Linked DNA regions of Tribolium castaneum. The protein of the gene in region 2 purifies or fractionates together with the protein of the main gene of each other region. This does not show direct contact. Links are inferred from orthologs where the notes say so. Each region holds a gene or a part of one and is shown on either strand. Other genes may lie near its edges.

The links.
Region 1: the proteins of Nurf-38 (region 2) and Iswi fractionate together in Drosophila melanogaster (co-fractionation; 4 studies listed by BioGRID, with this or other methods). This does not show direct contact. The link is inferred for Tribolium castaneum from reciprocal best matches to the Drosophila melanogaster genes Nurf-38 and Iswi.

Annotation. Positions count from the first base shown.
Region 1 is NC_087402.1:7,785,145-7,789,134, reverse strand, and holds the start of Iswi (chromatin-remodeling complex ATPase chain Iswi), read left to right. Parts: upstream 1-1,184; 5' UTR 1,185-1,348; coding exon 1,349-1,399; intron 1,400-1,480; coding exon 1,481-2,062; intron 2,063-2,416; coding exon 2,417-3,667; intron 3,668-3,900; coding exon 3,901-3,990. Other genes in the region: uncharacterized protein LOC660873, read right to left, coding at 338-859, 908-910.
Region 2 is NC_087397.1:12,922,781-12,926,728, reverse strand, and holds Nurf-38 (inorganic pyrophosphatase), read right to left. Parts: upstream 2,806-3,948; 5' UTR 2,694-2,805; coding exon 2,525-2,693; intron 2,435-2,524; coding exon 2,319-2,434; intron 2,267-2,318; coding exon 1,996-2,266; intron 1,949-1,995; coding exon 1,731-1,948; intron 1,674-1,730; coding exon 1,615-1,673; intron 380-1,614; coding exon 270-379; intron 224-269; coding exon 174-223; 3' UTR 134-173; downstream 1-133. Other genes in the region: CYP6BQ13 (cytochrome P450 monooxygenase), read left to right, coding at 3,075-3,116. UniProt on the Drosophila melanogaster protein: Component of NURF (nucleosome remodeling factor), a complex which catalyzes ATP-dependent nucleosome sliding and facilitates transcription of chromatin.

The sequences.
Region 1 (3,990 bases), on a different chromosome or scaffold from region 2:
ATTCAACGTTGTTTTTGATGGTTTAGTAGAAATATATACGAGTTTTTCTTAAAAATAATGCATGAAAATTTGGAAAATGATTAAGACTGAGTTAAGAAGTTACAAATATTAGACTACTTACAATACTGACAATTTGTGCAACGGTGACTAGACGTTTCCAAACAATTAATTGGTACAGGGTGATTCACGCAAGACGACTAGACTAGCCTTACAATTTAATGCAAAACCAAATACATTTTAAACAAATTAAATTGCGAATAGGACAGGAAACTGTGCATTTAATTCTTGTAAGGCTGTCATTTTAGCATTTTACGAAATCACCTGGTATGTTTCCAACTTAGTACAAACTGGTTTTCTTCATAATTCGCAAGAATTCTTCCTGATTGATTTCACCATCTCCATCCCTGTCTGCTTCATCAATCATTTCTTGCAATTCTTCATCTGTGAGATTCTCTCCTAGTTCTTTAGCCACTCTTTTCAGGTTCTTAAAACTGATTTTTCCGGTCTCGTCATCGTCAAACAAGCGAAACGCCTTCATGATCTCCTCTTTCGAATCCTTTTCGGCCATTTTCATGGTCATCAATTGCAAGAAATCATCAAAAGACAGTTTTCCAGTTCCCTGTGTATCAATATCAGCAATCATTTTCTTGATTTCTTCCTTCTTTGGCTCAAATCCCAACGCTCTAATTGCCACCTTCAGGTCTTTGGCGTCGATCTTCCCAGAGCCTTCATTATCAAACAAATCGAACGCCTCTTTAATATCGTTCTTCTGCTCTTCAGTCAACTCAAATTTGGAGCCTGCCATCTTCTTACGAACTGAGGAGAGATTCTTTTTTAAAACAAAGGAAGGGGACGTCGTCTAAAATCAATACTAACGCCTAAGTACTTATTGAAAATAGTCAATTACCATTATCAGGAACGGTTTTATGTTTTTATTCCAAAACTGTTGATGTTGAGATAACACAACCAAACATCCGGCGTTTTAAACAATCTGACAGTCGGGACTACCAACATTTACAAGGCCACCGTCTAAAACGCTTTCACCGCCTTATGAAAAATTGTCTTTTAAAAATTTGTCCACATCATAAAATTCTCTCGTTGTTGTGGGGTGCAGCATGCAATTATTGTTGTATTTTCGCCCGAAAATGGGCTCAAAGTGTGTAGGGATTGTTGGTGTTTCACCAGTTTGACGCATTTGCCCCCAGATGCGGCCGTCCTGCGACTAGTTCGTAGTGTTTCCCGCTACGTATCGCTTCCGAATCATTAAATGAACGGCATTTTTCCAAATTATCGTCGTTAAAAACCAACATTCCGTAGTTTTAGCTAAGAATTTCGCGCACCCAGCACCATGTCCAAAGTGGAAGAAGGCGGTGAAACCGCTGACACTGGTGAGAATTCGGTAAGAGCCTTGTTGTTAAAACAACCACAATAGTAAAAGTAAAAACGGGTCATTGACTCTGCTTTATTTATGAAATTGAAGAATGCCTCGTCTTCGGACACCCTCTCGTCGCGTGGGAAGGGCGAAGACTTCGAGACCAAACTCGAAACGGACCGCAGCCGCCGTTTCGATTACCTGCTCAAACAAACCGAGATTTTCTCCCACTTTATGAACCAAAACAAAACGCCTTCGAAACCGAAATCGGGCCGTCCCAAGAAAATCAAGGAAGACCCAGTGGCGGACCACCGCCACCGCAAGACCGAGCAGGAAGAAGATGAAGAACTGCTGGCCGAAAGCAATGCCAAGGCCAAACCGACGATTCGGTTCGAAGCCTCGCCGCCTTTCATCAAGAACGGGGAAATGAGGGACTACCAAATCCGGGGGCTGAACTGGATGGTGTCTTTGTACGAAAACGGGATCAATGGGATCTTGGCCGACGAAATGGGGCTCGGGAAGACGCTCCAGACCATTTCCTTGCTAGGTTTCATGAAACATTATAAAAACACGCCGTCTCCTCACATTGTGATTGTCCCCAAGTCGACTCTAGCCAATTGGATGAACGAATTCAAGAAGTGGTGTCCCAGCATCCGCGCTGTGTGTCTCATTGGGGACCAAGAGGCCAGGGTAAGACCTGGTTTAGTTTAATTGTGTTTTGACTAAGGTTGGAAAACACAAAGTCCAACCTACGTAAAAATTTATAATATCCAAAAAGAGTGATAGGACAGAGCGCTTTCGCGATTACATTCTTCATCAGTGGCGTAAAAGGGGGCTGGTAACAGGGGGTTAAGGTTAAGGCCTCTTCCTTATCACTGTCAGTACAAAAATGATTAGAAGAGAGAATATGGTTGGAAAAAGTTGAAGCATCTTTATATTTTTCTATGAATTTAAGATGTTTTTCAACCTTAGTCATCATAACAACCCCGCTTTGATAGAATGGATCCTTTAATTCTAATTGTGTTTCGTTAATTATTTTTTTAGAATGCTTTCATTCGGGACGTGATGATGCCAGGCGATTGGGACGTCTGTGTGACTTCGTACGAAATGGTTATCAAAGAAAAATCAGTTTTTAAGAAATTCAACTGGCGCTACATGGTAATAGACGAAGCTCATCGTATTAAAAACGAGAAATCGAAATTATCGGAGATTCTCCGTGAGTTTAAAACAACAAATCGTCTCTTACTCACCGGTACCCCCTTACAAAATAATTTACACGAACTTTGGGCCCTCCTTAACTTTTTACTCCCTGATGTTTTTAACTCTGCTGATGATTTCGACGCTTGGTTTAACACAAACCAGTGTTTGGGTGATAACCAGTTAGTCGAACGCTTGCACGCTGTCTTGAAGCCGTTTCTATTGAGACGTCTCAAATCCGAGGTCGAGAAAAAATTAAAACCGAAAAAAGAACTCAAAGTTTACGTCGGTTTGAGCAAAATGCAGCGCGAGTGGTATACTAAAGTCCTGATGAAGGATATTGATGTGGTAAACGGGGCCGGTAAAGTAGAAAAAATGAGACTACAGAACATTCTCATGCAATTGCGTAAGTGTTCAAACCACCCTTATTTGTTCGATGGGGCTGAGCCTGGGCCCCCGTACACCACCGACGAACATTTAGTCTACAATTGCGGGAAAATGGTGCTTTTGGACAAGCTTCTGCCCAAATTAAAAGAGCAGGACTCGAGGGTTTTGATTTTTTCACAAATGACACGAATGTTGGACATTTTGGAGGATTACTGCCACTGGAGACAGTACAATTATTGTAGATTGGACGGACAGACGCCGCACGAGGACCGGCAACGCCAAATCAACGAATATAATGAGCCAAATAGCTCAAAATTTATTTTTATGTTGTCGACGAGAGCCGGAGGTTTGGGTATTAATTTAGCAACAGCAGACGTTGTCATCATCTACGATTCGGATTGGAACCCGCAAATGGACCTCCAAGCCATGGACAGAGCGCACAGGATCGGCCAAAAGAAACAAGTTCGTGTGTTCAGACTTATCACCGAAAATACAGTCGAGGAAAAAATCGTAGAACGGGCCGAAGTCAAGCTGAGGCTAGACAAGTTAGTGATACAACAAGGGCGTCTAATCGACAACAAATCGCAGTCTTTGAACAAAGACGAGATGTTGAACATGATCCGGCACGGGGCCAATCATGTCTTCGCATCGAAAGACTCGGAAATCACCGATGAAGACATCGACACTATCTTACAAAAAGGCGAAGCAAAGGTAAAATACTTAATTTCCCAGTACTAACAAAGTTCACCTCCTAACTACGTAGGAGACGAAACGAGATCTAATCTACTTTTTTTTATTTGCGTTGTATTCACAGTTATTTAAATACAACCATTTTTTTAATTTATTGAACTATCGAGGAGGTTTAAATTAGTATATCGTTTCGAATCCTCTAGTTATTTGTGCTCCTCCCTGACTATAACATTAATCTAATAAAAAAAAATTAGACAGCGGAACTGGCCCAAAAACTCGAAGCTCTCGGCGAGTCATCCTTGCGCAACTTCACTGTGGACACGCCAACAGAGTCCGTTTACAAG
Region 2 (3,948 bases):
CACCATGCGCTACACTCTTACCCTTAGAAAAAAAATAGAAACAATAAATGCACGGGTGTAACAATTTTTAATATCTTCTTTATTTTAAATGGACGTAATGCCATTTATCCACTGTAAAAAAAAACACAACATATAAGTATTATAAAACATTTAATAGAAGAAGAGAGTGTTTATTAAAGTCTACATTTATTGCACAGTCTTCTAACAAAATAAACTCTATCAACTAAAAAATTAAATTAAAAAGAAAACAAATTTTATGAGAGACTTACCAATAGGTTCGACCTTTTGCGGTTGCGAATAAACTGGAGTTTTGTTAATCACGTCTTTAGCCTCACTGACTGATATTTTGAATGGATTGCCCTCAATAGTAGTGTTGACACTTGAAAAAGTAATTAAAGCAATCAATTAATGGCTTAATTACATTTTTATTAAGGAAATTTAGAAACCGAGATAAAAATTACTTCCGCCACTGGTTGTTATATATACGAGAATTTTGCACATTTTTCAATCAAAAACTCAAAAACTAAAATTAGCAAACTACATATTTAAATACAGCCTGTTAGGGAATGGTTTAGCAAAATTTTAAAGATAGATAGACAATAGCAAAACAAATCGATTAAGTAAACTTTTTGTATATCGAAAAAGCATAGATTTCCCAAAAAATTTTAGCCTTCATTAAGAACTCATTTATTTTGCAAGATCTTGTCAAAACACGCCAGAATAAAATACAAAAAATAAATGCTTTCTGGCGTTCCAGCAAAATCAAGATCGTTAGAGAACTAAAAAACAGAATTAAATAAAGAATTAAACAAGTGAAAACAATAGTAAATTTGAATGTTTTTGTAGAAAAACTATAAATGGGGTGATTTGTTTGGAATGTTGAACTTGAAGTTTTTTGCATATTAAATGCAATTCCACTTTTATCACAAAAAAAGATATCAGTTATTTACTCGAAAGTGGCTATTCATTAATCATGAATTCATTGCATTCGTTTTGAAAACGTAAGTTAATTATTACGAAATTAATTATTAGCTAGTTTTTTAAACTAAAAATTTACAAAACAAATAGTATAAATCTGATGCTTTTTGTGTTCAAACGCCTCCTTGAGTAAAATTTGGACGAGGAATATTCGGTACATAATTTATCAAAAAATAGTGATAACTTTAAAATCAACTCAAATAATTGCAACATAAACAAAAAAAGACAAAAAGGTCCACCTCACTTTCTGCTTAGGTAGCAAATAAATCAGTTGATATTTTATTTCAGTACCAATTGGTTATGACTTCATTTAAAAAAATACAAATAATTAAGATTACGCTTTATCATTTACGAATCATAAATTAAAGCAAAGCACAGCGCAAATAATGATGTTCAAACAATAAATAGTAGATTTACGGAAAAATTACTGTTCATAACAATGGGATCTACCTTCAAGTATAAAAATAATGGCAACAAAGATAACTCTTGTCATGTTTTAAAAGTTTCAGCATTCAATCAATATGAAACAAACAATTTAGCAACCTTGTAACTTATCAGTTTTAGGTAAAAACGCCGTAATCAAATAACATAATAACATAAAAAGAAACACTCAATGTCACCATAACTTTTACGTACCAGGAAATGCCCTTGGCATCAACTTCTTTATTGACCAAAGCTTTCCAGAAACGGTGTACCTATAAAAAATGCATCAACTTAATAACACTAGAAAATCCTTGGAAATAGATCAATACCTCATCTACCACTTTCAGCGCAAAACTCGCCGGTTTCGCTTCGCCATTAAAAGCGAACTGATTTTCAGGTTTACCATCTGGAATTTTATAGATTTTAAACCATTCAACTGAGGCTTTCAAAAGACCAGGGAAATGTTTCTCTACATCACTAACATCATTCACTTGATCGGCTAAAGGATCCTTAACATCTATAGCAATTAATTTCCAGTCTGTTTCTCCTGTGGATAAAATAATTAGAGGAAAACCCGGCACTTGTTGATTGTACCTTCGTCAATTAACGCAATGGTTCCTAAAATTTTCACCTGAAGGACTTCCCCCCGTTTCGCAACCCTGTACCCTATTTCAATAACATCTATGGGATCGTTGTCCCCCTTGCATCCTGTACCATCATCAAGATGCTCGGGGTTTTCCCAAGTTTGGGGCAAAGCCCCATAGTTCCAAATGTAACCATGGTGCGGAAAACAATTGGCAACAAACCTGGGCTTACCCTTCTTCACATCTTGCTTGATGGGGTTCAAGATCTCCTTCATAGTAATCTAAGAGAAGGCTGGCTGATGGCTGTTTATCTTTTCGCCTTTTTAGACTTACCTCCATCTTGGCATTGGTCCACCTGGGGACCTCCACAATCATGTTGAAAATTTTTTTGGTGCTGTCCACCACCAAAGGGACATCGTGAAGTGGCGAAATTGGTCCGTTTTGATTTTCTGTTAATTAAAAGTTCTATGATAAGGGTCGGGGGTCAAAGATGAAGATCAAGGATTGTGAGAGGTTATATTATATGATTTTAGTCTTACGGATGTAAACTCTGTAGTCTGGAGAGTAAGGAGATCCTCTTTCAACAACAGAATAGGCCATATTGAAACAAATGCCGGAGGACGAAAAACACCGCAAACTGTGACTTTGGTGTGATAATAGTTTGTGCAAGCCGCCTGCGAACACGCGTGAGAATTTATGGACGACCATTGCCCCCTCTATCCAAAATCACTGCACTAACTGTTGAACTAATCAATACAAAATAGGCGCGAAATATTCAAAATTTGGAAATACGTACAGGTACAGATACTGTACTCACCAACTACAATAAACAACAAAACTTATCACATTTCACTGGCTTAAAATTAAATAAACTAAAAGTTACATAACAACTAATTAAAAACTATTGGTCGAAAAAATAAATATTTGTCTAACATTGACCATGGTGAGTAATTTGGAGTTGTTTTTCCAATTACAGATTGATATCAGTTTATCTTAAGAGTTTCTGGTGATAACGATTTTCGATTAAATTCCAAGGTTCAACAATTCGCACGTAGGAAACTTATCAGTCTTATCACCTTGAAGTCAGCAATGCGTTTTGCTCACAGGTTTCGCTCGTTGCAGAAATCTTCGGTAAACACCAATTTACTACAACTAGTGTTAGAAGATGGCGCTGTAATGGCGACAAAAACTCATCATCCAGTGTTGCCAAGTCTGGTGAAATGTCGCCAATTGCATTTCAAAAATTCTCGAAAAGTAAAAATTACTAAATGTAAAACAAAATTTTCCAAAATTTTGTATAGTAATGTTCTAAGTGTTTTTAAGTATATTCGGTTCACTTCCATTAAAACCATTGTGGTGGAAATTGGATACTCTTAGTATTAAATTTTATACGAGTTGTCATGGTAACAGGTTAGTCAATTCCATCACAATGGTTTTTATGAAAGTGAACCGAAATTACTGTTTTCAATCCGATCGACTCATTTAGTATGCAAAATTAAAATACCTCTGCAACTACATTTTAGAAAAAAAAAAAAAATTTCAAAACTATCCACTCATCCAGATATGTCTAAAACTCATTTGAAAAAATTGTTGTAAAAAATCTGATGAGATTTTACGTGTTTTACTTAATTTACTTGGTTTTTTGTGCGTAAAATTTTGTTAAAATAACCACTCAATTTGGTCGGAAAACGGTGTTATTTTATCTTTTGTACACTTAAAATAGTAAAACACGTTTATGAACTAATGTTTTTGTAAGATATCGCACAACCAAAACGAAAATGTCAAAAACAGTATTATTTTTACATTTTATTACGCTTAAGTTAAAACCAATTAGAGAGATTTAAATGTAATTTTGCAATTCATTCGGTGCGTATCACAATAAACTCAAAAATTATTAAATTCATTTTTTTGAATTGGCAACATTGTTATTATCATTCATTGTTGAATTATAATTAGTCCACGT